2 linked regions of the Struthio camelus genome follow. The protein of the gene in region 1 purifies or fractionates together with the protein of each later gene. This does not show direct contact. Links are inferred from orthologs where the notes say so. Each region holds a gene or a part of one and is shown on either strand. Other genes may lie near its edges.

Region 1 (15,317 bases):
ACTTTGACGGAAGAGGGCTGGTGCTGTTCTGCTCTGCCCTGTTGAGCAAGGCTCGAGGGAGGAAAGGGAAGGCCAGTGAATCACCCAATCCTGGGTGAAAAAATATGTCAAAATGAGATTCACCCTGGAGAATCTGTCCTATGAGGAGAGGCTGAGAGAGCCGGGATTGTTTAGCCTCAAGAAGGAAAAGCTCAAGGGGATTTTATTAACGTGTATAAATATCTGCTGGGAGAGAGTAAAGGAGATGGAGTCGAACTCTTCTCAGTGGTATCCAGTGGCAGGACAAGAGGTGATGGGCACAGATTGAAATCCAAGAAGTTCCATTTAGACATAAGAAAAAAACTTCTTTACTGAAAGGATGGTCAAACATTGAAGCAGGTTTCTCAGAGAGGAGGTGGAGTCTCCATCCTTGGAGATATTCAAAACTCAACTGAACGTGGTCCTGGGCAACCTGCTTTAGCTGACCCAGCTTGAGTAGAGGGGTTGGACTAGACGATCTCCCAAGGTGCCTTCCAGCCTCAGGTATGCTGTGATTCTGTGACAGGGGAATACATCTTAACATGCTACTTTAGCAAGCTGTAGGACACTCACTCCGATCTTTGCATGAAGTGCTGCTACAGATCCGCAGGATCTGTTTCAAGCCATGTGCAGCAAATACTCCTTTAACTGTAGGTGGTGTTCAGTACAGGTGTCTGTGTATGTGCAGGTGAAGAGAGCAGTTTATGACTCACCTATTCTATGTTTAAAATACATATCAATGGCACAATTAAAGTTGGCATGAATAAGACTCCTCCATTTCTCTGGGCCCGAGCAAAATCAAACAACTTTTGTAGAGCAGGAAGGATCAAAACAAACCAGACAGAATTATGTAAAAATACGAACAAAGTTGTCACTTTGACTTTATCCATGAACAATTATAAGCACTCAAATCCCCTTGGTAAGGCATTCAGTTGCATCATGGTCATCAGAAAATGTTAATAAAATGTAATGACTTAATGGTTTAATTGACCTGAAATGAGCTTTCTCTAAACCCATTAATCTACCTGGTCTGTGAAGTCTTCCAGGCCTTGGGAGCGGGTCACTGTGTTTAAACCTCCTCTCAGAAACTCTTTCCCTGTGTAGGAAAGATGTACCACACGCCTGGTGTACCACATGCAAGTTGTAACTGACTGAGGATATAAGCAAAAGTGCAAACAGAAAAACTCTAGTCTTTCCATTTCAGCTCATCACCAAGGAAATGATCCTGGGCCACCTGCTCTAGCTGACCCTGCTTGAACAGGGTTGGGCCAGGCAATCCCAGAGGTGCCTTCCAACCTTGGCTGCTCTGTGATTCTGCGAACTGCCCCAAATGTGCTGCACTTCAGTCCCTTACACACCCTCCTAGGTGGTGTTTTAGGAATATGGAAGGTTGATATAGCCGTTGATGTGTTTGTCTCACTATTAATATCTCTTCTGGGAGTGCTAGTTCACTTGAGTTTCATTTTAACTGCTCTGTTGTGTTCTGCTCAGAAGTGATTTCTGAAAACATCAGTATTTCCATAGCCACAACAACTAATCAAGTTTCCTTCTTGTGATTTCTCATGGTTTCAGTGACTGTTCTGAAATTTGAAACCCCTTTACAGGGTGCTTCTCACTGTCCCAGGGAGCAAAGCTTCCGTCCTAGATCAGATATTTCCTATTACAGGGGAACGTAGCAAGAAATTCCATGTAAAAGATGAACAGAGTAGTATATTCCATGGGGATGAAGTTGACCTCACAACAAACAGGCTTCAGCTGGACAGTCAGCTCTGCTTCTCAGAGTCAGGTCCTGCTTTCTTCTCCGTTTCCATGCACATCTACCAGTAATGGCATCCTCTGGATGTCAGCAGGGCTGTTGTCTACGCAGCCATAGATTGGCCCCTAGTTGCACTTTCTCCAGTCCAGAGACTGGACTACATATTGAGTATGGAGTACATGTACGCAGTACATATTGACCACAGCGTCTGGCCTGCCTGTACGCCAGTGTGCATTAAGATTATTTATTTTAATTTGCCACACCTCAGTAAATACGGTTACGACTGGTAGAATCCAATACAAACATAAGTTAATGGCAATCCTCTTGCAAAGCTTAAATGCCAGCACAAAAATGTTCAGGAACTATGTCCTTCCCTCACAGAGCTCAGCCCTACCTCCGAAACGGAGGCTGGGAAGGAGCCCTAACCGAGCACCTGGTCCCTCCCTGCCGACAGACCTGCCAGGCCCACTTCCTCCTGACAGACCTGGTTCAAAACAACAGCCCGTGCAAAACTGCATACACGGTTCTTAACTTAGCACAGCCTCTACGTGAAAGCAGGGTGGCTCCCAGTACAAAGATAAAAGGAAGTATCCTTTTTTAAGTAAAACATTCGTATTATTGTATTTCTTTGGTATATTGCATAGTAAGTCATAAGAATAGTTTTACTGTAACCTATAATTGATCTTTTATGATCATTTCTGTGCTTTTGTATCACAGGTTACCGTCTTACTAGAAGTGAAATTTTCATGACACTAATTACATCTTTTGGGCCATGTATAACATACCATTGAGTTGAAAGATTTACCTGTGAAATAGGTTTTGTGTTGAACCTGTCATAGAATATATTCTAAAGTCAAAATAAGAGAGATTAAGAAAACATCTTTGTTTATAACAGGCTGTTTATCTTTGGAGCTTATGCAGCTCCCACTACTGTAGTATCTGCTGATAATCTTCGGTATAGTTTTTCTTAGAGTGCTCGAGGAGATAAGATCCTGCTGTTTTAGAGGTAAGGAATGCAGCTTGACCAAAGTCAGAAGAAAAGTCCACAGTAGGACAAGGACCTAAATCTTTCTATCTCAGGTTCAAGGCCTGTGTCCTATTTGCTGGCCAATATCTCCAGCTCACTAGTGCTTTTAAATCTGCGCTCTCAAAATCCACAAGTCCTGTGCTCATTCCACAGCTGAGGAAGAAAAAGCACTTCACACTGTGCAGCTTTTTTTTTTTTAATCATAAGCGCATTAGGAGCCCATAACACGGTTTCAGAATTGACTTGGCCACTCAAGTTTCATTGAAAGCTGCCAAAGGGAACAGATTTGCTCCCACTGAACTCAGAGCACTTTGGATCCTGCCCAAAAACCAAATGCCTCCTCTGAAAGCCTTCCTCATTCCTTCTTCCCCGGTGGCTAAGACAAAGCACTGAAGGATGCCAGTAAAGGCCCCATCTAACCCTTGGCCAGAGAGAGTTATGTGTGTCTGGTACCAGAGTGTGGAACGAGGGCAGGAAGGACATCCTCAGTATTTATGGCAGAAGGGGAAAAAATATCTTGGTTACTGTTTTTTGTAACAGTAAATTGAACGTTACTCAGATCTCTGTCTAGTAACATAACTCTGTTAACGTGAAACTCAGCTGGTATCGCAGACGTGCTCCTCATTAATACGGAAATTTACCTAGCTGTCTAATACGATGTTAGAGAAGACAGGTAACATCTGTTACATTTTTACAGCAGCACAGCAGAATATTAATCCATTAGTAATTGCTCTGCACTGGCTATCAAAACTGATTCCTATTTTAATCTCCCTAAAATTTTCAAAAGAAATATTGTCAGAGGACAGGAAACTTCTGCTGAAGAAACACATTTTACTGGAGGCTTTGAGCAACCTTCCCTTAAACCATTACTTGAGTGTGTGGAGGATGTAAAAGCTAAGAAAACGGCATTAAAAAATATAGTAGTTTTAGCCCAGGACTTGATAAAGTAAAACAAAAAATAGCACAAGCGTGACACCACTAGCACAATCCTATCATTGCTACATTTAGTAGGGGGGAAGAGAAATTAAAAATTATACCAGTTACAAGCAACGGCTTACATTCTCCTGAGAGATAGCCCACCCTATCCTCAAAAAAGTTTGAGAGACTTTGGGGAAGAATTAATGATGCAATTTCTCTGCTAGCCAGGGAAGATCTGCTGCTTTTAGTGTTTGTGTTCACCGCAAAAACGTACATATCTTACATTGTGTCGGGTACCCGAGCTACTTCTGCCTATCCAAAAGCCTACTGAAATAAAAGCAGGGGGTTGTTGCCTAGGAATACCTAGTCAGGGTGAGTCCCCGGCAGGGGTGCAGCGTTGTCCTCAGGCAGGTCTCGGAGCTCAGGCATCTGTTTTGAGTGATCTACTATGATGCAAATGTACTTTTTGTTTTTTAATCATGAAGACGGTCTCCATTCATGATACAAATTGAATAAAGGAAACAATTGCCCACCAAAGCAAACTGAGCAAATATGTTTCCGTCTTGCTAATGGGTACAACAGAATCTTGTGAATGCAAAAATAATTGCTGAGCTTGCGATTTGGGGGGGAAAGCTGTACTCTTTTGCTTCATTGTGCAATATCCTGCAAGTTTTCATTTTAAAATGCTTTTTATTGCATAGCTAAGACTATCATAGCACACAGGATACATCATGCCCTCTTAATCAAGCCTGGCAATAGAATGTTTTCAGCCAAACAATATTAGAAAAAAAGATCCTTTCCTTTAAAGAAAATATGCACTTCAAAGCCAAGAAGGGATTATACTCTTGCTAACATGACTAAACACAGTAAATATACAAAATGTATCAGTTCTAAAGTAAGATTGCACAATTCGGAAGGAAGTTCAGAAATGCAAAAGCTGAAGTTTCTGTAGTAGAACGGGGTTATGTTTTATGCCCTGCGCTGTGCTTTTCACTATGTGGTTGGTAACCTTGCAGAAGAACAGGTGGGGAGAATCTCCCGTAGGTGTGGTGAAAATGAAAATCAATGAACCCATTAATTTTTTTTTTTTAAATGAAAACTAATTTTGGTATTTCCTCATTACATTACTTTTAGCTGTTCAAACCTAGTACTATAGTGGGGGCAGGGAGGATTCCTGGAAGCGTCTGAGGGAAGGTGGTTTACCAAAATGTGTTCTTGGGTCTGCCCATCTGTTTTACTAAGAGAGAGTTTATCCTGGAGGGAGGGTGGGCTGAAAGAACAGCACAAAAAGCACAGGCACCGTGGAGGGTCCATTTGACCTAGCTTGATGGGCAAATGGCAGGAAGAATTCACCTGCCTTTGTCTCTTTATATATATGCCAATCCCTGATGTTGGAAAAGTGATTGTTGAGACAGGAGGCAACCAAGGGACATCCTGTATTTCCAAACTTGCTACATGTGGGGGGTTTGTTTGTTTGTTTTTTGTTTTGTTTTTTCCCTTGAAACCTCAGCCCCAGAAGCAACTACAAGAGAATCTCAGATTATACTTGCCAGATAAATGACTAGAGCTTTTCCCCCCTTGTAACCGCAGAGAAAGAGCACGAAAACAGGACACCCAGAGATGCTTCGACTGAAAGTCAAATAAGAACCGAGCATATCTGCATGCTTTAGTGTCCACCGTTTTTAAGCCAGTTCTGAGAGTTCTGGCTTCATTCTCAACCTCACGGCTAGTTTTTTCCACCTATGGTGCCCTAGGACTCCTGCACACCCTAAATGCCTCATGCACACGCTTTTGCATGTAAGAGCAGGCACGGGTGAGCAGTAACGTTTTGCATATCGCTGGTTGCCTTTGCAGGTGCTGCTCAACTCTACATGCAAACGCTAGAGAATTTATATAGTAACGGGTAGCAGTTCACCTGCTCGGAGGAGCCGCTCCTAAAAACTGAGGGTACTCGCTGCAAGCAAGCGCTCTTAGGACAATGAGACAGACAAATCCATGTCCTTTCCAAAAACAATGTTTGGACATAGCTTAGAAATTAGGAATGTCAGTTGTTCGTGTGAATTAGACATAATCCTTTACAAAGCTTCCTTCTGTTTAAGACCGAATGCTTAAACTACCCAGACAGTATGTTTTTGCATGGAGGCAAATTTGTTTTTTTTACTCAACTAAATTTAAAATATAGAAAAGTATTAAATTAGATTTAAACTCTATTTAAAAGTAAGCTGTGTTTTAAATTATTTTTAAGTATAGATACATTTAACACAGGAAATACTGAGGAGATGCTCACTTACCCAAAACGCATCTTTAAACTGCAGCTGTGTCATTATTATCGATTTGCAGAGCGGAAGGAATCTGTCAGCAAGAAGTTTGTTCTCAGAAGAGAGCAGCAGCAGCGGCGGCACTCAGCTTCAGAGCTGTCGCTGTAGCCCGGCCCAAGCAGAAAGTGAAACACATCCACGCTCCTGGCTCTCTACAGTCAAACTGGTGAAAACCAGCATTGGGCAATTTCAGGCAGCTCAGTATAATGACCTGGAGAGGGGAAGGGGCAGAGGGGAAGAAAGGCTCTTGCTCACACAGGGAGACGTGCACACGCTCAGCCCCTAGCCTCAGACCCGTTTCTCTTCTGGTGAGCAGTTAATATTGAAATGAGGAAGCAAGGAGATGTCAAGTGATGTCAGTTTGTTCCTTGCCATGTGTGTGCATGCGAGCTGCTTGCAGGAAAAAAAAAAAAAAAGAAAAAAAAGAAAAGAAAAGAAGAAAATTCAGTGATATGACTTGAGCAGCTACTGCAGAAGGGGGAGCAATTAAAACACAAATGAAACCAGCACAATACAAACAGATAAACGGGGGAGGAAATTAAACTGCGATATAACTCTGCGGTGTTACAAAGATTAAAAAGAAAAGGATGTGCCACATTTCTCCAGTACCTTCTGAGGTTGGTAGAGGCACATGTATATGTGTATATATATACGTATATATGTATACACACACACTCACAGGAGTGTGTGTGTACACTCACAGAGCTGCAAAGCTGCATTTTGCAACTGAAAATGCTTTTCAAGACTCCAGCTAAGCTACGGCCATTGCAAAGTGTACAGGTGTGTGCACGTGTGCGTAGAGATCCTCTAGGTGTATCTGGAAATGCTCTGATTTGCATCTCCTCATGTAAATAACTGTATGAATAAAGAGGGTATGTGAAACTGAAAAGTAAAACCCAAACTCGGGAAGGACATTGGGATAAGAGTTAGCGCGAGGCCCCGGGTGAAGGGCTCTCTGGCCTGGCCGTGCCCCATCAGCACACCCACTGCAGCGCCACAATGAAGTATTTCAAACAGCTAGCTAAATAGGCTAACAGATTCATTACAGTATGTCCACAAATAATTGATAATAGTGTAATACGTCTAACGCATCCATAAAACCCTCCTCCGAACGCCTGCTCTACAGGAGAAGTTGTCTGCTCACCCCCTCAGAAGTTTTTAAGGAATCTGTATTTTAACATGAATTTTGATAGGGCAGGAAAACTGAAAGGGAAAAAAAGGAAGGAAAAACCTCCCCCCTTAGCTGACTATGAAGAAGTGCATCTTCATAGTATTTTATTCACTTCCACGCCAACAACACATCGGGATGCCCGTGTCTCGCTTCCTTCTTACTGCAGCGCCGGGCGCGTGGGCGGGCGTCTTTAGGGCGAGGATGTCTCTTACCTTCGCTGAGCTCCAGCTGGGCACAAAGATCTGTTCAGAGAGGTCTCTCAGCAGTCGGCGGCTGGAGTTACGCGTAGTCACTTAACTAGCAATTTACTGGAACCGATCTCCTAGGAAGCGGAGAATACGGCCGTGTTCCCTTCCTGGCGGTCTGGAGAGGAGCAGCGGCGCAGGGCGCAGGGGACGGGCAGCGGTTCTGCGGGGGGAAAGCAAGCGAAAACAGAGGAGGGCAAAAGAAAGCAAGCGTTTGCTGGGCCAGAGGTGTGAAACTGCTTTGATTGCCGTGAGAGGCAAGAGAAAAGCACCATCACGTGAGGGAGGGAGAAGGAGAAAAGTGAGGATTCACTTGCAAAGGGTGTTGAGGAGAAGGAAGTGAAGCTGTCTTCCAAGGGTAAAAATTCCCTGCGAAAATGCATTTTGAGGTCAGGTCGTAATAGTTGATCTGTTTTAAAAAAAGAAGTCTTTTTAAGAATGTTTTATCTATGTCTTTCTAAACCTAAGCATTTCATCATTTTATTTGCAACTTACAGCTTTGTTTTGAAACTGATAGTTTTGCTGCTGCTGGAGTTTATAAAAAAAATGCATATAGTGAATGCAAAAATGTGTTTAGATCAATGCAAAATGATTTGTTATTTTTGCATTATTTTCAGTTTGAGCCCAAACCAAAGAGCCAGTTGTTGGATTCAGGCTAGTGCTGAGCTCCGTGCTGGGTCTGTCCCACCCAGCGAAGCCTGCGTAACCCCGTAACCTCCGCTAGGAGCGTGGCAGGCAGAGTTTCCTTTCTAGTCAGAGCAGAAAAACAGGCAGGTAGGTTTGCTCTGTGAGTGCGTGTGTGTCTCTTTCCGTTGGCTGCAGAAGAGTCGAGAGCGTCTGCGTTCCTAGCTCAAGTATTTCGGTGGCTTGGCTGCAGTTAGGTGGCGGGAGGCCCGGCCTCTAGCTCCGATGAAGCAGAGCTCTTGGGCGCTTGCTTCATCTGACGCTGTCCCTGGGGGCAGCTCACATGTTACCGTGTGCCTGGCTTATGGTCAAAGGCTCCTGCCGCTCGCACGGGTTGCCAAGCTTTGCAGTGCTCTTAAAGGAGGGGGAGAATTATGTTAATTTTACAGCTGAAGAAAGTGAAACCTACAGTGACCAAATGGTCACGGCCTTAGACGTCAGTGCTAGAGCTGCAGGCCTGGGGCAGGGTTGCTGAGAACCTTCTCCCGGTTGTTCTGCTTCGCAGCTGCCACGGTATGAGTAATAATAACACGTGGTCAACCAGCCAGAGAGGCACAAGCCCAACGCAGCTCTCCTCCTCTGTGCTCAGCATCACCATCTCGGCTTGGCCAGCGTGTAAAAACCTTTCACTGCAGCTGGCGACGGATGGCACTGGTACGCAGAGGAGGCTGCGTAGTCCTGGGGGTATCCCCTCCCTGCGTTAGCAATGCCTGGGCTCAGGAAAGCTGGAATAGAAAAATTTTCCTTTTCTTCCTTAAGCCAAAGCACCAAAGACTATCAAAAAGTCTTACAGTGGATAGCTAATAAACTTAAATCTGAACTGGACTGCTGTAAATACAGGTTTGTAGGAGCAGGTTTCTAGTTGCAGAAGTAAAAATGTCATCAGTCAGGTCAAGAGCGATGCTAGCGAGTGGCTGGGTAGCAAGCTTTTCAGGTGCTTTGAGCACACTATCCTATGGGTCTGGCCCTCCAGAAGTCTCGGTTTAATGTTCTGGAAGTGGCCAAAGGGACAGCAGGGCCTGCATTCACGGGGGTGTTTGGGAACCCAAGTCCTTCTTGAGCCTTTCTGTGCCATTGTGAATCGAGGTCTCACTCTTTCTTATTCAGCTTTTTCTCTAAAGAGGGATGGGAAGTCATAATGGAGAAACAAAAAGCTTCAGAGAACAAAAATTCTCTTAAAAAAAGAAAATGAAAGAGAAAGAATAAGGCCATTAGAATGGATGCTTCACTAGAACAATTATACATCCGCAGTAAGACAAATAATACCCTGTCTTGCTGAAAACCCTTTTATCACACACAATCTAATCACAGCATACATTTTAGTACAATGTGGGTATACGTGCCTTGCTGGCCGGGATTTACAGTAAATCTGTTTCTGAAAAGCACTTTAATTCCCTGTGCTTTGTTTCGTTTCATCAGCACCGTTCTGCTTTACTGCTCCTACTCTTGTTTTTACGATAAAGGTGTGCAGAGGAGAGAAAAGGAGACCTGTCATGTCTATTTGACACACCCTTTAACTGGCAACACAGAGCTGGGCTGAGCGGTGGGTTTTCATGGGGGGCTTCCTAACATAGCAGAGCGGAGTGATTTGAGTAGTTTCTTTAGGGACAAGTTGTTTAAAGGGGCATCACGCACTGGCAGAAGACAGACACCGATACACTCACAGTTTGAAATTTCACTAATGATGGTTACACTGAGCGCGTAATTTTGCATGGAGTTGAATGTCTTTTTGAGTAGCACATAGCAAGTATAGCAAGCCTCACTCGTTAGGCGTCACAGCCAGGCTGTTTGGGGCCACAGATACACGGCAACCAGGATGAAAGTAAAAAAGCAGTACTTGCAGCCTTCTGTACCCCCGGCATCTGCTGAAGATGCTTGAGGGTTAAGTGCTCTGCTTTGATACTCTTGAGCGTGGAAATTATCTGTATCAAATGAAGGTTAATGGTCAGATAAATTGTTCAGAGTGCATGGCCTGGCTGGAAGATGGGGGACTTCTGGCTGGGGCTTTCCAGGTCAAAAAATAACGAGATATGTGAGACCTGAGAAGAAAGCCAGCTGCCTCTGGGCACAGAGCTGTTGTGTCTTGCCCCGTTCTCCTGCCACAAGCCAGGATGATGCTGAGTTGCAGGCAGGTGGGTTCCCCGGCCGGGTCCCCTCCTGCGGGAGCATGGTGCTGCTCTGTCCTTTGCCCCCATTTGGTCTCCTTCCGCAGAAAGCACAGGATGCCACTCCTCAGGCTGACTGACGAGGAGCTGGGCCGTGGCCCCAGCGTGCCCCAGCCCTGGCGCCCGAAGGCGCCCTGGCCCTGCAGTGCAGCAAAGCCCGGGAGAGCACCCAAAGTGCGATGACATGCTCCGCTTTCTCCACTGGGTTATTTGCCCGCATCCACCTTTTTCTGAGGACAAATGGATCTTGCAGGGCTTTTGGCTTGATGCATCCTCAAGCATCCCTCATTTTCATCCTATAACTTCGTTTCTACAGGGTTTTGATTTTTGGTTGTTTTTTTTTTTCCTATTTTGGTGTGTATTTTAACCAGTGAGGACTTTGACTTCTCCCCAGCTGTGACTTTCCTTGACCTGGATCCCCCCAGGTTCTCCCAAAATATCTGCAGAGTTTCTGGAGGAGAATATTGTCTTTGAGCTGTTTCTTACTATCTCTCAAGGAAATAGGACTTCCGTCTGTTTCATGAATAAAAAAAAAACTATACCAAGAAAATTCTGGTTTTGTCTCAGCAATTCTTGCTCAGTTTCTGTAAGACTAATCGTTCAGTGGTACGTTTCTAATGGAAACGTGTTAACCTGAGGACGGTCAAATCCAGAAGTCCTTCAAATGAATTGCCAATTAGAAGGAATTTATGTATTGTATTCTTTGGATTTATTCATCCGGTTTTTCTCTTCTTTCACCTTTTTCTGTCTTCATTCACCTTGTCTGATAAATTTTCTTTAAGTTCACATTACGTTATGATAAGAAAGTGAGCAGAAAAAACTCCAAGGGTGAAAAGTTGTTTTATGTTTTTTAAGATTACACTTAAAGCTCAGCAAAAATATGCTCCACATAATCTAGTGAATCCCTAATACAAGATGGAAGTCTCAAACTGTTCGTGTGTGTGCAGTGTGAAAGTAGCAGTTTTAAATAGATGAGATTGTTTGAGGGTTTAAACTTCATCTTAAAAGTCGACTGTTTAATAGGTGAACCTGCTTTAAGCTAAACTCAGTGAGTGAGAAAAGATGATAAAGTTCCTGAAGACTGCTTTTAATTGCATAACCATTCCTTGGTTATTCATGCATTTTATTTCATGCAGACTTTCCTGTTCTTTTTTATTAGTCTTTTTAAAAAATTTTATGTCTGTGCTTCAGTTTAAAATACGTGGAAATGGCTATTCTCTAGCTCTGCTGCGTAGCCTTCCTGCTCTCTCTGGAAGTATGACCGGGGAGTACTGTTTTTGCCCTGCTGCCACCACTTTTCCATTATTTTCTCTGTGCTTTGCATTTCTCTGTTTGTCTCCCATGACATGGCAAGAATTTAGGTCTTTGACACTCTTCCAAAGTATCATTTTAAAAGACTAGAATTAAATTTATGGTGAGATGTTAAGTGGTTAATCACTTGTTGTGGGAGCTTGCATCATTTAGCAGAGCTTGAAAGAGCATTCAGAAGTAGCAGTCCCCAATAAGCTGTGGTACCTCTAAGACACACCAGCCTCCTAACAGCTCTGAAAGCTCGTTTGTGTCTCCTTCGCAGGCAAACGTGTGGGAATAGTTTTGCGGTTCTTTTGTACAACTCTCATGATGAACGCTGCCCTTGGAGAAAAGCTCTTCCTAAAAATATCCTCTAGATTAAATAGGAACGCGACAGCGCAGGGTCCAGTTCTTAACAGATACTGAAGCTCACCACTGCGTTAATAGTTTGAAGTGACTGGCCTGAATTGTAAGAGGACTGGAAAGGCTGAGCTCAGAGGTGGAGCTCTGCGGGGCTGAAGGGTGGGGAGTGAAGTCCCTGAGCCTTTCTAAGCCACCAACTACTATAAAGCCATCTACTGAAATCACCTGGAACTCAGTGCAATTGTCCCCTGAGGAACAGTCATATAGACACGCTTGTGCCAAACGGAAGCACTGTTAGTGGACAGGAGCTTTAGACTTTTGCCATGGTATTAGGACTAGGACAGGGAACGACAAGTGATCAGACAGCAGGTCATTTATTCGCTTATTGGTAAGCTGGAGCCTTTAGAAACCGACAGGGCCTTTTGCCTCCCTTTCCTCACCACTTTCACACGGCCTTTAACGTACCCTTTGCGTGCAGGTCTTCCAGGAACCCAGAAGTGCCAGGGCCGTGCACTGAGCAGGACGCTCGGTAAATCACTACTGCCACCTCCGTTCCCAGCACGGTTAGGAAAAGCTAAAAATCAGGTCTTTTGGAAATAAGTATAACCTGTTTGTGGAGGAGAAAATGAAAAGATTTCGGTTTCTATCCCCCCTTTTTTGTCAAAACTTCAGGTACCTGCAGCAAGATAGTTTTTATCTCCATGGTGTATTTTGGATATTTTACCAACAGTCTTTCAAGGTAACTGTTGGTTTGCTAGCCAAGGAGGCCGGCTGACGTTTCTCAGAAAGGACGCCCTGAACGCTGCCGTTCTGCAGAGAAAGCAAGGTATGTGTTTTACACGCTCAGGCTTACACACATACTCTTCCTTTCTTCTCCCCCGAGGAGATGCAATTTCTTAAAGCAAATTCTGGCCATGGCTCAAGTTCACAGAAACATTAGACAGAGGTTTAGGATAGTGAAAAATCCTACCTGACTGAGACTGCAGGAGGAACGCAGGTAGGCAACAACCATTCAGCCTGGCATTTAATAGATGCGTCTATGTTCTCTGAAAAATCATGGTCTTCTCAGTCAACCTCAAATCATCAGGGTTTTTGCCAAAAATATACCATCTCTAGCAGCTTAATCTCTGCACAGAATATCTCTTCTTTCATAATATATTAAATGGTTTAGCATCATGGGAGGCAACAGTCTAGATTTCTCTGGCATGTTTTAGCAAATGTTCTGGCCTATCTACTCATTTAGAAACAATCACTACTTTTTTTAAGATAAAATTTTTTTGCTGAGTAGAAATGCAAAACTGAAGCAAGTTAGCCATGAACATCTGAAATAACATTTCAATTGAAAAACTCAAAAAGCAAAACCTTTCTAGATAAATTATTTGCATGTTTATTACCGGTAAACTTTCTGTCTGAAAGATTAAAGTGCAGGTCTTTTAATTTCCAAAGAAAACATAATGTAAATGCAGAACACTGCAGACAAAGTAGTTTGTTTAGTCTCAGGTAGGACTGTAATTTTCCACCTGTGTGAGAACACACACACGCAGATATTTTGTCGCATACTCCTACCTTCATAAACACGTAGAGCCACACAGAAAGAGGACGAGGGGGCTGCTAAAAGCCTTCGTAACGCTTGAGCACGAGCTCTTGTCCTTTTTGCAAACCAGAAATGCCAGAAATGTCGATCAGCTGAACCACATTTCAGCTGTCTAAGTGTTTATATCTGGCATTTACATTAATATTGCTCATTTTTGTTTTTCCGCTCGTGTTACTATTGAAAGGATTATTACTGGCTTTCTCAAAACAAAACAATTATACTTTTTCATTATTTTTAGTGATTCTCCTGTGCGTTTTTTTTTTTTTTTCCAGCATCTTCATTTTTCCTTTGCTAGATCATTGGGGATGGTAAAATAACATCTTTCATGAACAAATATTTCCTCAGCCCCCACATTAGGGGCATTCGGAGACACTGCAGTGCACATCTACGCAAGCAGCATTTATGAGCAGTAAAGGATTCTCCATTAAGGACTGAATCCTCGCGGGGTTTGTGTTGGGGTTACCACTTAGGCTGACTTTTATTCTTGAGAGGATACAGAGCACTTTATATGGGGCACTATCGTCTGTAGAGAGAAGTAATATTTACTTGTTAGAACAAAAATAACTTCTAACTTAATACCAACACGGACGAATACCAGTTTGTCAGTGTTCGATCACTGAGAGAGTTTTCTTGTTACTTCTGGCAGCTCTGGTTTATGCAGGCAGAGAAGGAAAGGATCGCTTGAAGTTGGAAATGCTACATATACAAAATAAAATATATATTAAAATATATAGGAAAAATAAAGACAGCCTGCCTAAGGGTTTAGACGGGGTCACTTTCTACCGGGTTATTTGTGCCTCCTATGTTATTCAATACAAGTAGCATGAGCTGTATGCTGGGATGGCCCTTAGACCATCTAAATCTGTTTAGTACATGAACACTCCCAGAAGGCAGCTAGAAACATAGACTGTCGGAGGTTGGACAGGCCCTCTGGAGGTCTCCAGCTCACCCCCTGCTCAAAGCACGGCTAACGTCAGGGCTAAAGCACGTGGCCCAGGGCCGCCTTGCGTTCTGAGCGTCTCCAGGGTGGAAATACCTCCCCAGCCTCTCTGGGCCCTCGTTCACTGCTTAACCACCGTTATTCTGATTTTTTTTTTTTTCTCTTTATCTAGTCAGATTTTCCCTTGCTGGAACTTGTAACTGTTGCCTTTTGTCATTTCACTGTGCACCTCCAAGGGGTCTGGCTTATTTACACTAGCAATGTAATTGCTTGTTCTGTCACCCATCCCTTTCCCTGGTAATGAATTGTATGTTTGGCAGGATGTCTTTTTCTAGATTTAAAAGGTACAAGCTGCTTTATGCGCTGGAAAATTTTCAAGTCTAAGCTCTGTATAATTGATACTTCATCTACTTGCTGTCGTATTAATCTCCCTTTGCGCTGTTCACCTGATGTTTTACATGCGTTGTTTGTTTAGAAATCCAATTTTGCTGGATCCTTGATTTTATGAATGGTAAGATTTTGGAACAAGCAGAGTTTTCTTCTCTTCATTGAGTTTAGCTGGTATTTTGTTCCTCTGAAGGTGTCTCTCTTACTTAGATACTGTTCACCAGAAACTGTCCTAATGCGTATTCCCACAAAGCTGGAGTCTGCCTCTGAATCAGGGTTAACTGATTTTGAGGATGTCAGTGATCTGTCTCTGGAGAATAAGGTTATCTTGCCAGCAAGAATGGTCAGCCTGTATCCAAGAAATCTGAGTGGTTATTACATGGAGACCAAGTGCCTTTTTCTGCTTTAATATTTGAACTGAGGATATTCTGCATGTGCTGC
Region 2 (16,067 bases), on another chromosome or scaffold:
AGGAGCCCAAATCCCCCCGTGATCCTCCTAATCCCCCCTAAGACTCCCCAAAATCCACCCCAAGACCCCCTGGGATCTCTCTGATACCCCCAATCCCCCCTCGGAGTGCCCACAATCCCCCTGACCACCCCCCCCCCCCATTTCCTGCAGGAGCTGAAGGACGTCCGGGATGGGCAGCGCATCCTGGAGAAGAAAGGCAGTGCCGCGGTAAGGGACCAAGGTGTCCGGGGCACAAGGGGGGGGGCACCAGCAGGGGTCCACCTGGATGCCTGGGCCCCCTCTTGCACCACGGTGACCCCCCCACACTCCCCTTGCAGCTGAAGGACCTAAAGCGGCAGCTGCAGCTGGAGCGCCGGCGGGCCGACCGCCTCCAGGAGCGGCTGCAGGAGCTGCTGGCGCCTGGCCGGGGCCGCCCTGGTGAGCCCCAGAGGCCTGGGCCCCTCGCGGGGTGCGCGGGGGTGCGCCGGACGCCTGGGCCCCTCACTGACGCCCTCCTGCCCCATCCCCCACAGGGCTGGAGGAGCTGGTGCTGGAGGCGGCGCCGGCGGGCGACAGCAGCAGCCTCTCGTCCTTCGGCTGCCGTGAGGGCTCCGCCCCCGGCAGCACCAAGGTGGGTGGGGCCTGGACAGGCCACACCCCCTCAGGCGGGGTCATGCTTGGCCACACCCCTCTGGGTTGTTGAGGTGCCTGCTCTCCAGGTGCAGGCTTAGGGCAAGCCACGCCCACCCCAGGCCCCACCCCCTTGTGGGTGGGGCCATGCTGACCCTGTCCGGTGGTGGGCGGGGCCGGCTCTAGGGGGTGGGGCTGGGCAGTAGCTGTGGCCTGGCTGACATCAGTGGGGGAGGTGGGGCCACGGGGGTGAGGGGTGGGGCTGAGGTGGGCGGGGCCGTGGCTGAGGGGGCTGGGCATCACTGACCTTTCTCCCACTGGGGCTTGGTGGGCCCTGGGGGGTGGGGCCTGGTGGAGGGTGGAGCCCACAGTGGGTGTGGTCTGGGGGACGTGGTTTCACTGACTCCACCCCTGGCAGTCAGGCTCAGGCAGCCCCAGCCGTGGGTGGGGAGGCCTCACTGGGGGGTGGAGCCTCACAGGGGTGTGGCCCGGTGGGGCCTTGCTGACCCCGCCCCTCCGTGGCGCGGCAGTCGGGCTCGGGCAGCCCTGGTGGGGGCAGCGGCGGCGGCGGCGGCCCCGGGGCGGCCGAGCTCTCCCCGGCCGAGGTGGCCGAGCTCTTCCAGCGCCTGGCCCAGAGCCAGCAGGAGCGCTGGCTGCTCGAGGAGAAGGTGCGTGGCTCTGGGGGGACTTGAGGAGGGACTGGGTGGTGCCAGGGAGACTGGGAGAGACTGGGGGGATTTGGGGGCCTGGGAGATACTTAGGGGTTATGGGGGGGACCGGGAGCCAGTGAGGAGGCACTGGGAACCACTGATGGGGGAGTGGGGGGGATATGGGGAGATGCAAAAGGGTTATGGGAGGGACTAGGAGACACTGGGAAGGTACTGGGAGGGACTCAGGGCTATGGAGGAGTGTGGGAGATGCTTGGGGGCTTTGGGGGGTGCCTGGGAGGGACGGGGGGCACTGGGAGGGACTGGGGAGATTCTGGGAGGGACTAGGGGGCAGTGGGAGGCCCTTGGGGGCGCTGAGAGGGAGCAGGGGCCACTGGGAGGCAGTGGGGGGGTCGCTGGTGTCCCTGGGGGTGGCTCAGCGGTGGCACCGGTGTCCCAGGCAAGTTGGGGGAGAGGGTATCCCCAGTGTCACCCCGCGTCCCCCCTGCAGGTGCGTCACCTGGAGGTGAGCAGCGCCTCGATGGCGGAGGACCTGTGCCGCAAGAGCGCCATCATCGAGAGCTTCGTCCGTGAGAGCCGCCTCGGTGCGGGTGGGAGCAGGGAGCGTGCCCGGACGCCTGGGCCCTGCCGGGGGCTTCCCCACGCCCCCCGCTGACCCCACGTGTCCCCCCCCCCAGACGCGGCGGCGGCTCCCCCCGGCGCCCCCCGGCGGGGCAGGGGCCCCGGCGACGAGGACCTGCGCGAGATGAACAAGAAGCTGCAGAACATGTTGGAGGAGCAGCTCACCAAGAACCTGCACCTGGGCCAGGTGGGCGGGGCCTCCTGGGGCGGGGCCTATGGGGTACCCCCCCCTTAGGGCAGGCTGGGCTCATGGGTGGAGCCAAGCAGGGGGCGGGGCCTCATGGCATGGCTCGGGGCAGGGGTGGCTGGCACGGGGGTGGGGCCACGGAGGGGGCTGTCTGCGGGTGGGCGGGGCTTCCGGGGGGCTTGGCCGTGGGGCCCGGATGCCTGGGTCCCTGAGCACACCCTCCCCTCCCTCCGCAGGACCTGGAGGCGCTTTCACAGGAGCTGGTGCGGCTCAGCAAGGAGCGGGCTGCCCCCCCCGGCCCCCCTTGAGGGGCGTGGCCCCGTTAAGGGGGTGGGGCCGCCCCGGGGGGCAGGGCCTCCCCACCTGCTCTGCCATCCTGGCTGTACATATCCCCCTGTGGCCCCCCGCGGGGGGGTTCCCCCTTTAAGGAGGCGTTGCCACTTTAAGGGGGGGTGGGATCTCGCACTTGCACCCCTCCCGCTCCCGCCACCCTTTCAATAAACGCGATTTGAACCGCAGCCGCCTCCGTCTCTTGGTGGGGGAGGGGCGCTCGGACGCCGGGGCGCTTAGGGAAGAGGCGGGGATTACGTCATTACACTCCAAGCTGGTTCGCATCTCCCTCATGACGCGCTTCCCCCCGGCGTCGCCATGGCGGCCGGGACGCCCGCCCGCCCTTCTCTGTCGTCACTTCCGGGCGCGGACCCGGATGTTGTTGCCGGCGGCCCCGCCCACCGGATGTTGTTGCCGCCGCTGCCCGGCTCGGCCGCAGGACGGGGGTGACCGCGGCGCCGCTCCCGCTTCCCCAGCCCCGCTTCGCTTGAAGCGGGGCGCGGCGTGACGTCAGCACGGCGGTGACGTAAGCTCCCCCACCCGCTTCTGCCGGTTGGGCGGCGGCGGCTCCAACCGCCCCCCCCCACCAGAAGACAGCGGTCCGCGCCTGCGCTGAGCCGCCGCCGCCATGGCGGCCGCGGGGGGCGGGGCCTGGACGGGGGGCGGGGCCGCGCTGGAGGAGGAGTGCGAGGTGGTGCGCGTGCGCGTCAAGGTGAGCGGGGGGCCGGGGGCGGAGCTAGCGGCCGCCGGGAGGGGGTGCCGCTGGGGGCGGGGCCAGCGGTCTCTGGGGCGGGGCCGAGGGCTTCGCGCTAAAGCGGGGGGGGGTGCGGAGGTGAGAGGAGGCCACGTGGGCGGCGGTGCCCAATGAGGCGCGAGGGTGGGAAACGGCAGGGTGCCGTTAGGCTGTTGCCGTAGCGACGCGCTGAGGTGGGGCGCCATGTCGTTGCGCCGGGGGATGAGCGTGAGGGCTGGACGCCTGGGTCTGCTGGGGGGGGGGGAGACCCCCCCGCCCGGCCCCGGACGCCTGGGTCCCTGACGCTGCCACCAGAAGAGCGAGGGGCTGCTGCCGCCCGAGTTCCGCTCCTTCGCCGTGGACCCGCAGATCACGTCGCTGGACGTGCTGCAGCACATTCTGGCGCGTGCCTTCGACCTGCAGGGGTGAGCACCGGGGCCCCTCCCCTCCCCCCAGGCATCTCCGTCCCCCCACCTTCCTTGTGTGGGGGAGGGGGTCGATTCCCTGGATGCTTAAGTCCACTAGGTACACAGAGGAAGTCCCCGTGGGGGGGAGGGGTGTTGGCCTGGACACCTGGATCCGCTGGGCACAGTCGGGGATGGGTCTCCATGAGGGGGGTGGGAGGGAGGTGCTTGGCCCGGATGTCTGGGTCCACTGGGGTGCATGGAGGGGAAGCCCCACGAGGGAGGGGGGTTGTAAGTGGTGGGGGAAGGGCACACCCCCAGACTCCTGGGCCTCTCATGGCACACAGGAAGAAGAGCTTCGCCGTGAGCTTCGCGGCCCGCGACCGCCGGGGCCACGAGAGCTTCACGCCGCTGGCCAGTGACAGCGACCTGGCGGCTGCCTTCGCCTCAGCCGCCAAGCCTGCCCTGCGCCTGCGCCTTGACGTGCGCCCACCCGACGACAGTGAGTGCCGCCTGGCCGGCAGGCCCCAGCATTTGGCAGAGCCCCGCCCTGCTGGCCAGAGGGTCCTGGTGTCTGGGAGGACCCACGCGACCCCTTTGAGGGCTGGGTGGGGGGACCCAGCCATCTGGGAAGAGCCACATCTTCCCCTTAGGGAGTGGGTGGGGGGACCCAGGGGTCTGGGAGAGCCCCCACCCTCATCACCCAGGGACCCAGGTGTCTGGGAGAGCCCCAGCCCCATCTGTCAGGGGGCCCCAGAGTCCGGGAGGAGCTGCATTTTCTCCTTGGGTACTGGCTGGGGGGACCCAGGTGTCTGGGGAGAGCCCCTGATCCCAGGACCAGAAGGGGACCCAGGCGTCTTGGAGAGGGTGGGGGGACCCAGGTGTCCTGGGGGTGGCACATCAGGGGCCCGGGTGTCTGGGTGCCCAGGGTGGGCTCTCGAGCAGCGTAGAGGAGACCCAGGTGTCCGAGCGGCCTGGGGGTTGTCATGGGGGCTCTCGAGTGGCATGGTGGGGACCCAGGCGTCCAGGGACCCGTGGGGGGCAGGGTTGCAGGAGTGGCGGAGCAGGAGGGACCCAGGCGTCCGGGCCCGCAGGCCCGCTGCTGGAGGACTGGGACATCATCAGCCCGCGGGAGGCGGCGGGGGCCGAGCCCCCCGGGCCCGAGCGCCGCTCGCTGCTGGCCGCTGCCCTGCCCTTCACCCAGGCCCTGCTGGCACAGGTGGGTGCAGGGCCTCCCAGGGCTCCCAGTTCCCCTCCCCAGGCCCTCCCAGAGCTCCCAGTTCCCCTCCCCAGGGTCTCCCAGCGCTCCTGGGCTCCCCCCCAACACCTCCCAGTGCCCCTCCGACGCTTCTCAATGCCTCCAGTTCTCTCCCAGACACCTCCCAGTGTTCCTAATTCTGCTCCAACACCCCCCATGGCCTCCAGTGCCTCCAGTCCCTTCCCAGACACCTCCCAGATCTCCCCCTCTCTCCTCCTTCTAGTGCTCCTAGTGCCCCTCGACACTTCCCAGAGTCCCCAGTCCCTTCCCAGATGCTTCCCAGTGTCCCCAGTCCCCTCCCAGGTGTTTCCAAGTGTTCCCAGTTCTGCTCCAACACCTCCCAGTGCTCCTTTGACACCTTCCAGTGCCCCCAGTCCCTTCCCAGACACTTCCCAGTGCCCCTTGACACTTTCCAGCGCTCCCACTCCCTGCCCAACACCTTCCAATGCTTCCTAGACTCCTCCTAGTTCCCCCTCAACACCTCCCAGTGCTCCTAGTCCCCCCCCAACGCCTCCCCGTGCTCCTGGCTCACCTGCCGCCCCCCACACAGGTGGGCCGGACACTGGCGCGGGCGCAGGCGGCACTGGCCTGGCCTGAGGGCTCCCCACCGCCACCGGCGTCGCCTCCGCCACCGCCGCGGGCCCCGCTGAGTGATGCTGACCTGCGCAGCTACCTGGGCCCCGGTGGGCGCCTGGCCCGGCCCCGCGACCTCCGCCTGCACGTCTACCACGGGGGAGTCGAGCCCGGCCTGCGCAAGGTATGTCTTGCCCCGCCACCGTCCCCCACCCCTCCTGCCCGGATGCCAGGGTCCCTAATGGCGTGGCCTCATCCCCGCACAGGTGGTGTGGCGCTACTTGCTCAATGTCTTCCCGGCGGGGCTCTCGGGCCAGGAACGCCTGGCCCACCTGCGGCGCAAGGCAGCCGAGTATGGGGCGCTCAAGGCCCGCCTGGCGGCCCAGGCGGCCCCTGGCGAGCTGGCGCTGGTGGGGGCTGCTGTGCGCAAGGACGTGGTGCGCACTGACCGCGGCCACCCCTACTTCGGGGGGCCTGAAGAGGGGCACCCGCACCTGGCCGCCCTCCAGGCCTTGCTCACCACCTTCGCCCTGGGCCACCCGCGCTTGTCCTACTGCCAGGGTATGTCAGATGTGGCTGCCCCACTGTTAGCCGTTCTTGATGACGAGGCCCAGGCCTTCATCTGCTTCTGCGCCCTCATGCGCCGCCTGGCTCCCCGCTTCCGCCCTGGCGGCCGGGGCCTGGCCCGGGCTTTTGGGCACCTGCGGCGGCTGCTGCGGCGCGCCGACCCGCCGTTCTGGGCCTTCCTGGCCGCCCGCGGCGCCCACGACCTCCTCTTCTGCTACCGCTGGCTGCTACTGGAGCTCAAGCGGGAGTTCGCCTTCGAGGACGCTCTGCGGGTGCTGGAGATCACCTGGAGCTCGCTCCCACCTGCCCCGCCGCCCCCTGCCGACGGTGTGCCGCTCCTTGGTGCCCCCCTGGGCCCCCGGCGGGCTCGCTGTGGGCTCCGCGAGCGCCGCGGGCTCCGGCCCCGGCCCCCCCGACGGCACCGGCGCCAGTGCAGGGCCCAGGAGGCGGCTACGCTGGGCGCAAGAGGAGCTGAGAAGGAGCCTGGAGACGACGCTGAGGGGCTGAGTGGCCTCGGGGATGTCCTAGAGGCTCCAAAAAGCTGCGGAAACCTCCAAGAGGATCCAAAGGTCTCCAGAGATGTCCAGGAGGATCCAAATATCCCCACAAACGCCCAAGAAGATCCCAAGATCAGTGACGTCCAAGATGCTGCTAAGGTTTCCACAAACATCCAGGAGGATCTGAAGGTTTCCCAAGGTGCGCCAGGTAGTCCTGAGATCTCCCAGGATGGTGGAGCGAAGTCGGAGGTCCCAGATAATCCCGAGACCAACCGAGGTGTCACAGAGGATCTCCATGTCTCCCGGGACATCCCAGAGGATCCCAAGGCCTCCAGGGAGGCCAGAGGGGGACCCGGTGTCCCCAAAAAGGCTGATGAAGACCCTGACATCCCCAAGGAGGTTGGCCAAGACCCCAACACCCCCAAGGAGGTTGACCAAGATCTCAGCATCTTCAAGGAGGCTGAACAAGACTGCGATGTCCCCCAGAAGCTCAGCCAAGGTCTCAACGTTCCCAAGGTTGGCCCAGAACCCGACATCTATAAGGAGGTTGGTCAAGACTTTGGTGTCACCAAAGAGATTGGGCAAAACCTCAACGCGTTCGAGGAAGTTCGCCAAGATCTCAACGTGCCGCAGGAGGTTGGCCAAGATCTCAGCATCCTCAAGGAGGTTGGTCAAGAACCCAGCGTCTTCAAGAAAGTTGGCCAAGACCCAGGTGCCTTCAAGGAGATTGGCCAAGAGCTCCGCAGCCCCCAGAAGGTTGGCCAAGACCCTGACGTCCCCGAAGACGCTGAAGCAGACGCTGCCACCCTCCCCGAGGTTGGTGAAGCTGATGATGACCCCTGGGCCGGCCCGTGGGCTTGGGAAGATTCCTCCTCCTCCTCTTCCTCCTCCTCCTCCTGCTCCTCCTCCTCCTCGTCGGAGGACGAGGTGGGTGTGGAGGACGACGGGGCGCCGCTGCCACCGCCGGAGGAGCTGGGCCAGGGCAACCCCTTCCTGCTCTTTGTGTGCCTGGCCATGCTGCTGGAGCAGCGTGAGGCCGTCATGGCACGGGCCAGCGACTACAATGAGGTGGCCATGCACTTTGACCGCCTGGTGCGCCGCCACGACCTGCCCCGGGTGCTGCACCGCGCCAAGGCCCTCTTCGCCCGCTACCTCGAGGGCTGGGGGGGGCGTGGCGGCCCCGGCGCGGGTGACAGCGACCCTGCTGAGCCCTGACGCCTGCCCCCTGCTGCCGCGCCTGGCCGAGAGGGGTGTGGGGGGAGCTGGGGGCACCTATGGAGCCCCCAAGGGGGCCCCGAGACCAGCTGAGGGACGCAGAGATGTCCGTGGGGGTGTATAGATGCCTCTGGGGACCCTATAAAGCCCCTGAGGTGGCCCACAGAGCAGCTTAGGGACCCCAGAGATGCCTATGGAGCGGTGTAGAGATCCCTGGGGACCCTATGGAGCCCCCAAGTGGGCCCTGAGACCGGCTGAGAGACCTGGAGACGCCCATGGGGGGCTATCGATGTCCCATGGACCCTATAGAGCCCCCGAGGAGACCCATAGACCAGCATATGGACCCCATAGATGCCTGGGGGGACCTATAGATCTTCCTTGGGGACCCCTAGATCAACATAGCTATTCTGAAGGCATGCATGGGGACCCATAGATCCCTTTTGGGGACCCATAGACTCCCTTAGGGACCTGTAGAAAATCCTGGGGACCCTATAGATCCCCCTTGGCAGCCGTAGACCAACATAGGGACCTTGTAGGCACCCATGGGTACCTATAGCTCTCCTTTGGGGATCTGTAGGTCCCCCTTGGAGGCCCATGGACCAATGTAGGAATCCCCTAGGTACCCCTCAGGGACCCATAGACACGCCTGGGAATGTATAGGTTGGCATAGGGATCCCCTTGACACTTCTCAGGGACCCAGAGATACCCATGGGGATGCCCTGAGGACCCATAGACCACCATAAGGACCTGTAGGCACCCCTCAGGGACCCATAGATCCCCCCTGGGGACCCATAGGCCCCCATGGGGACTGTAGGCACCTACTGGGGACCTGTAGACGCCTGCTACGGGGAGCCAGGGACATCGCAGCAGCCCCAGTACGGCCCAGTACAGCCCACTGCCTCCCCTGCCATTTCTCTACGTCGCCTCGGAGCGTCCCGGCGTGGACCAGTATGAACCAGCGTAGGTCTGGGGGCCCAACTGGGAGCTCCTGCATCTCCATGGCCTTGGGTTGGACCAGTTCGGACCAGCATGGACCAGTACAGCATCCTCATCGGGATTCCTCACCTGCGTGGCCTTGCGCCGTCCCAGTCCAGACCAGTACAGCGGCAGAGCTGGAATCTCTTCACCCACCTGGCCTTGGGCCATCCCAGTACGGACCAGTATGGACCAGTATGGCATCTCAACTGGGAGCTCCTCACCCACGTGGCCTTGCGTCTCCCAGTATGGACCAGTACGGACCGGTAGGGCACCCCCACTGGGACCTCTTCACCCACACAGCCTTGGGTCCTGCCAGTATGGACCAGTACAGCCCAGTGCCCTCCCCACCCGGTGCCTTCCTATGTCCCCCCTTTATTTATTGCCCCCCCCCCGCCCTCCATCCTACTGGGAGGGGCCCAGGCGTCCGGGGTGCTGCGAGGTGCAGAAGACGCAAATAAACCTGACGCCCATGTTTGTCGTTTGGAGGCTCCCAGTATGGACTGGGGATGGGCTGGGTGGGTCCCATTCCATACTGGGGAGGGATTACAGGTGCTTATATCGATTGGGAAGGAGCTGGGGATCCCAATCCGTACTGGGAAGGGGCTGGGGGAGTCCCAGTATGGACTGGGGAGGGGATAGGGCTCCTAGTATGGACGGGGAAGGGGCTGGGAGGCTCCCAGAATGGACTGGAATGACAATGAGGGATCCAAATCCATACTGGGAAGGGTCTGGGGGTCCCAATCCATACTGGGAAGGAGCTAGAGAGCTCCCAGTATGGACTGGGAAGGGGATTGGGGGGGGGTCCCAGCCTATACTGGGCCTGCAGTATGTACTGGTGGGTCGTGGCATGGACTGGGAAGGGCCTGGGGTTCCACTACAGACTGGGATGGTCCCAGTACGGTCTAGGACAGAGTTGGGACTCCCCTGAGGGGGGAGGGGAAGCCAAGGCGCCCGGATGCCTGGGCCCCCAGCCAGGGGGGAGGAGGGGGGGCCGCGGCCTTTGGCTGCTCCCAGTCCCTCCCAGTTCACCCCAGTGCCCTCCCAGTTCACCCCAGTCGCCCCCAGTCCGGAGGTGACGCGCGCTTCCGGGCCCGCTACACGGAAGAGGCCTCCGCGCGGGACCCAGGCGTCCGGGCCGAGGGCTCCCCACCTCTGCAGGGGACACAGGCATCCGGCTCGGGGAGGTGTTTCCCCCCCAGCCTCCTCCAGGAAGGGGGCCCAGGCATCCGGGGCCCATAAGCGGGGCCGGAGCCGGCGGGGGAGTGGGGAAGGGGCCCAGGTGACTGGGGCGATGAGCCGGGGGGGCCGGGGGGGGCCACCGGGGCCCGACAACGTCCCCTCGGAGCTGCTGCAGCAGCAGGAAAACCTGCGGCTCTTTGAGCTCCTGGGCCGGAAATGTGTGGTGAGGGGCCGGGGCAGATCTGGGGGTCCTGGGGGGGATTTGGGGGGCCCTGCAGGAACCCTAAGGGCTCTGGGGGGGATCTAGGGGGTCCTGGGGGGGGCTGTGGGGGACTTGGGGGGATTTGGGGGTCCCTGCAAAGGCCCTAAGGGTTCTGGGGGGATCTGGAGGGTCTTAGGGGGGGATTTGGGGGTCTGGGGGGGCCCTAAGGGCTCTGGGAGGGTATAGGGGGAATATGGGGGGCCCTTGGGCTGGGGGGGTCCTGGGAGGGGCCTAAGGGGTCTAGGGGGGGATCTGGAGGGGATATAGGGAGTCCTGGGAGGGATTTGGGAGGGATATGGGGGATGGGGGGATTTGGGGGGTCCTGGGGGGCTCTAAAGGGTCTGGGGGATATTTGGGTGGATCTGGGCAGTCCTGAGGGGGATTTGGAATCCCAAGGGGGTCAAGGGGGTGTTTGCAACATCCTAAGAACCTGTAGGAACCCCCTTGAGTGCTATAGGAGCTCCCCCCAGGCACTAGAGCCACCCACCTAGTCCCTGTAGAGGCCCCAGGTGCTATAGGGCCCCCACACATGCTTTAGAGCAGCTCCTGGGTGCTATAGGAGCCTCTCAGGTGCTATAGGGTATCTTTAGGGGCCATAGGGGCCCCTTGGTGCTATACATGCCCAAGTTGCTATGGGGTCCCCCCGGGTGCTATAGGAGCCCTTCGGGTGCCCAAGTTGCTATAGGGCCCCCTGGGTGCTATAGGGGATCCCTAGGTGCTATAGGGGCCCCCCAGGTGCTGCAGACCCCAATGAGCCCCCAGCCCTACAGGGACTCCCCAGCCCCATACCTCCCCCAGCACCGCAGGGCCCCCCCAGCGCCCTGCCCCCCCCCAGGGGTGCTATAGGCGCTATAGGGGCGGCTGCGGCAGACGCTGGCGACGGCGGTGGTGCAGCTGCTGGAGGCGCGGGGGCCGGGGGGGGCGGCGTGGACCAAGCGGGGCTGCGGCGTCGCCTGCCTGGTCAAGGACAGCCCCCGGCGCTCCTACTTCATCCGCCTCTACGACCTGCGGGTGAGCTGGGGGCCCTGGCATCCAGGTGGGGGGGCGGGAGACCCCCACGGGCTGGGTAAGAGGTGGCCAAGGGACCCAGGCGTCTGGGCGGGGGAGCCCAGGGGATGGACCACCACGGGCTGGGTGGGAGATGGCCAAGGGACCCAGGCGTTGGGGTGGGGGAGCCAAGGGGACCCAGGTGTCCAGGCAGGGGTGGCGGGAGACCCCATGGGCTGGGTGGGAGGTGGCCAGGGGACCCAGGCATCCGGGCAGGGGAGCTATGGGGACCGAGGTGTCTGGATGGGGGAGCCACGGGGACCCAGGCGTTGGGGTGAAGGAGCCACGGGGACCCAGGCGTCCAGATGGGGGAGCTATGGGGACCCAGGTGTCCGGGCGGGGGAGCCATGAGGACCCAGGCGTCCGGGCGGGGGGGGACGGGAGTCCCCACGGGCTGGGTGGAGGTGGCCAAGGGACCCAGGTGTCTGGGCGCGCAGGGCGGGTGCCTGTGCTGGGAGCAGGAGCTCCGGGCCCACATGGGCTATGCTGCCCCCACCCCCTTCTTCCACACCTTCCCTGCTGACGTGAGTAGGCGGGGCCAGGGGCGGGGGCGGGGCTTCGGCTGCTTGGGGCAGGGTAGGGTGGAGCCAACTGGATGGGGGCGGGGCTACAAGCTGGGGTGTGGCTACAGGTGGGGGTTGGGGTGGGGCTAGAGGTGGGGGTTGGGGCGGGGCATCCGGCCTGAGGGCGGGGCTCTGGCTCTGGGGGCGGGGCCGAGGGCGGGACTCTGTGCTGGGGCAGGGCTTCAGCATTGTGGGTGGGGCCAAGGGTGGGGTTAAGAGACTGGGGGCAGGGCTTAGAAGGCAGTGGGTGGGGCTAAAGGGGCCTGAGATGGGGCTGATGGATGGGGCAGGGCTAAGGGAGTGTGGGTGAGGTGGAGGGTCTGGGGTGGGCTGGGGCTGGGGCGGGGCTGGGGCGGGGCCAGGCGGTGATTGGCTGCGCAGGGCTGGCAGGCGGGGCTGAACTTCGCCCACGAGGGGGAGGCGGCAGCGTTCCAGGCCCTGGTGGAGGAGAAGGTCTGGAAGCAGCAACAGCGGGCGGGTGAGCTGCCCCACGGCCCTGCCCCATGGCCACCCACGGTGCCCCACAGCTTCCCCATGACCACTCACGCTGCCCCACGGCAGCCCCAGGGCCACTCACACTGCACCGGAGCTGCCCCACAGTGGCCTATGAGGCACTGGGGCTGCCCCACAGCCACCCCCCCTGTGCCAGGGCTGCCCCATGGCCACCCACGCTGCCCCGTGGCAGCCCCAGGGCCACCCACACTGCACCGGGGCTGCCCCACAGCAGTCCACGAGGCACCAGGGCTGCCTCATGGCCACCTCCAACAGCCCACAATACACACTAGGGCTGCCCTATGGCAACCCACAGTGCACTGGGGCTGCCCCACAGCCACCCACGATACACTGTGGTTGCCCTACAGTGACCCACTATGCACCAGGGCTGCCCTGGTGCCCGCCACGCCATGGGGCAGCCCCACATTAGCCCCTTTCCCTCCACAGAGAAGCGACAGCTCCCACCCCCACCACCCCCCACGGCTGATGGTGAGTTCCCCCCCCTATCCCGGGAGGCTTTGCGGGGCTGTGGAGGGGGCGCCGTGGGGCAAAGAGCCACGGGGAAGGAGGAGCCGTGGGGTGGCCATGGGGGGGATGTTGTGGGGCAGCCGTGGGGCGCTGACCTCCTCTGCCCCCCATCACAGAGCGCCGCGGGAGTCTGCCCCGGCCCCCTGCATCTGCCGGGGATGGCTGTGGTGAGTGACTGCCCCATAGCAGGGGCTCCGCTGCCCCACAGCGGGGTCCCTGCCCCATAATGGAATGTCCCTGCCCTATAAGGGGATCCTTGATGCCCCATAGCAAGTGGTTCCTGCCCCATAGTGGGGTCTCTCCTACCCTATAGTGGGTTTGCCTGCCCCATAGCACAGTCCCTGCCTCATAGCAGTGTTCTAGCCCCCTAGCAGGGTCCCCTCTGCCCCATAGTGGGTTCCCCTGCACCATAGCCAGTCTCTACTGCCCCAAAGGGAGTCCCCCTGCCCCATAGTGGCCGCCAAGCCCCATAGCGGCCCCCGCCCCACACACATGCCCCCGCAGCCCCCCCAGTGCCGGCTGTGCCCATTGCCAACCCCGACATCACGGCGAGCCGCTACCGGGGGCTGCCCAGCCCCACGGCTGGCCCCACAGCGGGCCCCACAGCAGGCCCCACAGCCACTGACCGCAAGCGGGGTCGCAAGAAGATCTCCAAGGCTGACATCGGGGCACCCTCCGGCTTCAAGTAGGTCTGGGATGTGTGGGGCTGGGGGGATGTGTGGGGTGGGGAGATGTGTGGGGCAGGGGGACGTGTGGGGCTGGGGGGGACGTGAGGGGCAGGGTACATATGGGGCAGGGCTCGGCCATGGGTCCAGCCCTCCTGCTATGGGGCAACCCCTCATATCACCACCCCCCACCAGGCACGTGGGTCACATCGGATGGGACCCCAACAGCGGCTTCAACGTACGTCACCCCATAGGGGCTGTGACCCTCAGGCCTTATGGGTGGAAGAACCCTGTGGGCCCCATAGGGGGGATGGACCCCCCCAAGCTCTATAGGGGAGAGACCCCCTGGGCTGTATAGGAGAAACACCTCCCTCCCATGGGCACTAGAGCTCCCCTGCAGAGGCTATAGGCCCCACACCCCTCTAGGTGGCAGCTATGTGCCCCACACTGCCCCGGGGTGGGTGCTATAGGGCCTGTACCCCCTTAGGTGGGTGCTATAGGGGTCATAACCCCCCAGGGCAAGTGCTATAGGGCCCGTACCCCCCCCCCGGGGCTGGCATTATAGAGGTCATACCCCCTGAGCCAGGCTCTATAGAGGTCATACCCCCTGGGGTGGGGTTTATAGGTTCCATATCCCCTGGGGTGGGTGCTATAGGTCCCATATCCCCTGGGGAGGTCCTATAGGGGTCCTATCCCCTGGGGCAGGCACTATAGGTCCCATATCCCCTGGGAAGATCCTGTGGGGTCCCCCCCCAGGGTGGGTGCTATAGGTCCCATACCCTCTGGGGAGGTCCTATAGGGGTCCTATCCCCTGGGGCAGGTGCTATAGGTCCCATATCCCCTGTGGTGGGTGCTATAGGTCCCATAGCCCCCTGGGGAGGTCCTGTGGGGTCCCACCCCCCCAGGGTGGGTGCTATACACCCCACGCCCCCAGGGCGGGGCGGGCAGCACGGCCCCATACCCGCGGGGAGGGCGGCGGGTGGTGCCAGCAGCCCTACGGAGGCCGTAGGTGCCGGGCCGCAGGTGCAGGAGCTGGACCCAGACTTGCGGGCGCTGTTCGCCCGGGCCGGCATCAGCGAGGCGCAGCTGGCCGACGCCGAGACCTCGCGCCTCATCTACGACTTCATCGAGGGCCAGGGCGGCCTGCAGGCCGTCAAGGAGGAGATGCGCCGCCACGGTGAGCCCCCCAGCGGCCGCGCAGCGCTCCCTGCGCCCCCGGGCCCGAGGGGCTCCGCCGCCCCGATGACGGCAGCCACCTGTCTCCTCCGGGGTAGGCCCCTCAGGCCCCGCTGTAAGACCCGTACGACCCTCGCCGTAGGGTCCGTAGTCCCCCAGATAGGCCCCATGCCCCCCCGTTAAAGCATCCATACCCTCCCCATTATAGGGTCCATACCCCTTCCTGTTATAGGGCCCTTATGCCCCATTATAGGGTCCATGGGCCTCCGTTATAGGGTCCATACCTCCTCCGTTATAGGCTCCCTATGCCCCGTTATAGGCCCCACCCCCTCCATTATAGGCTCCATACCTCCTCCGTTATAGGCTCCCTATGCCCCGTTATAGGCCCCACCCCCCCGTTATAGGCTCCATGCCTCCTCCGTTATAGGCTCCCTATGCCCCATTATAGGCCCCACCCCCCCGTTATAGGCTCCATACCTCCTCCGTTATAGGCTCCCTATGCCCCGTTATAGGCCCCACCCCCCCCCATTATAGGCTCCCTATGCCCTGTTACAGGCCCCATGCCCCACCATTATAGGCCCCATACCCCCCTAGGTGCCACGTGCCCCCCCAGCCCTAGGGGCGTGGCCCCGGGGGCGGGGCTCCCGCCGGGCGCTGACGCCTCTCTCCCCTCCCCCAGGGCCGCCGCCCCCCCCGGGCCGCGCCGCCGCCGCGCCGCCGCCACCGCCCCCCGCGGCCGGCCCCGCCCCCCGCGGCCGCCAGGGGCCGCTGCCGCCGCCGCCGCCCGGGGCGCCGCCGCCGGCCCCGCCGCCGCCGCGCGGGGCCCCGCCCCCTGCCCCGCCCCCTGCCGCCGGCCCGCCCCCTGCGCGCGGGAGCCCCGCCCCCCCGGCGCGCGGCGGAGCCCCCCCACCCCCCCCGCCGCCGCCGCCGCCGCCGCCGCCGGCTGCTGGCGCCACCGCCGGTGCCCCCGCCGCGGGGCCCCCCCAGGGCCGCGGGGCCCTCCTGGACCAGATCCGGCAGGGCGTGCAGCTCAACAAGGTCGGGGGGCACGGGGCTGGGGGACGATGTGGAGCAGGTCGCCATGGGGCGGGGGACAGTGTGGAGTAGGGTGTCATGGGGCAGGGGACGGTGTGGGGCAGGGGACGGTGTGGGGTGGGTTGCCGTGGGGCGGGGGGAGGTGTGGAGCAGGTTGCCATGGGGCAGGGGATGGTGTGGAGTAGGGTGTCATGGGGCAGGGGACGGTGTGGGGTGGGTTGCCGTGGGGCGGGGGGAGGTGTGGAGCAGGTTGCCATGGGGCAGGGGATGGTGTGGAGTAGGGTGTCATGGGGCAGGGGACGGTGTGGGGCAGGTTGTCGTGGGGCAGGGGGAGGTGTGGAGCAGGTTGCCATGGGGCAGAGGACAGCGTGGGGCAGGTTACTGTGGGGCAGGTTGCCATGGGGTGGAGGACAGCGTGGGGCAGGTTACTGTGGGGTGGGGGGAGAGGTTTTGGGCAGGGGACACTGTGGGGTAGGTTGC

The links.
Region 2: the proteins of PSTPIP1 (region 1) and WAS purify together in Homo sapiens (affinity purification with western blotting; 3 studies listed by BioGRID and IntAct, with this or other methods). This does not show direct contact. The link is inferred for Struthio camelus from reciprocal best matches to the Homo sapiens genes PSTPIP1 and WAS.

The regions. Positions count from the first base shown.
Region 1 is NC_090953.1:22,306,718-22,322,034, reverse strand, and holds the start of PSTPIP1 (proline-serine-threonine phosphatase-interacting protein 1), read right to left. Parts: upstream 6,350-15,317; 5' UTR 6,044-6,349; coding exon 6,011-6,043; intron 1-6,010. UniProt on the Homo sapiens protein: Involved in regulation of the actin cytoskeleton. May regulate WAS actin-bundling activity. Bridges the interaction between ABL1 and PTPN18 leading to ABL1 dephosphorylation.
Region 2 is NC_090979.1:337,086-353,152, forward strand, and holds the start of WAS (actin nucleation-promoting factor WAS), read left to right. Parts: upstream 1-9,679; 5' UTR 9,680-9,931; coding exon 9,932-10,042; intron 10,043-10,951; coding exon 10,952-11,092; intron 11,093-11,565; coding exon 11,566-11,652; intron 11,653-12,072; coding exon 12,073-12,169; intron 12,170-12,630; coding exon 12,631-12,672; intron 12,673-12,827; coding exon 12,828-12,878; intron 12,879-13,215; coding exon 13,216-13,396; intron 13,397-13,571; coding exon 13,572-13,614; intron 13,615-14,399; coding exon 14,400-14,553; intron 14,554-15,231; coding exon 15,232-15,277; intron 15,278-15,427; coding exon 15,428-15,590; intron 15,591-16,067. Other genes in the region: GRIPAP1 (GRIP1-associated protein 1), read left to right, coding at 151-207, 318-417, 513-610, 1,140-1,277, 1,768-1,867, 1,955-2,085, 2,322-2,393; TBC1D25 (TBC1 domain family member 25), read left to right, coding at 3,044-3,127, 3,464-3,573, 3,900-4,054, 4,647-4,771, 5,361-5,567, 5,650-7,662. UniProt on the Homo sapiens protein: Effector protein for Rho-type GTPases that regulates actin filament reorganization via its interaction with the Arp2/3 complex. Important for efficient actin polymerization. Possible regulator of lymphocyte and platelet function.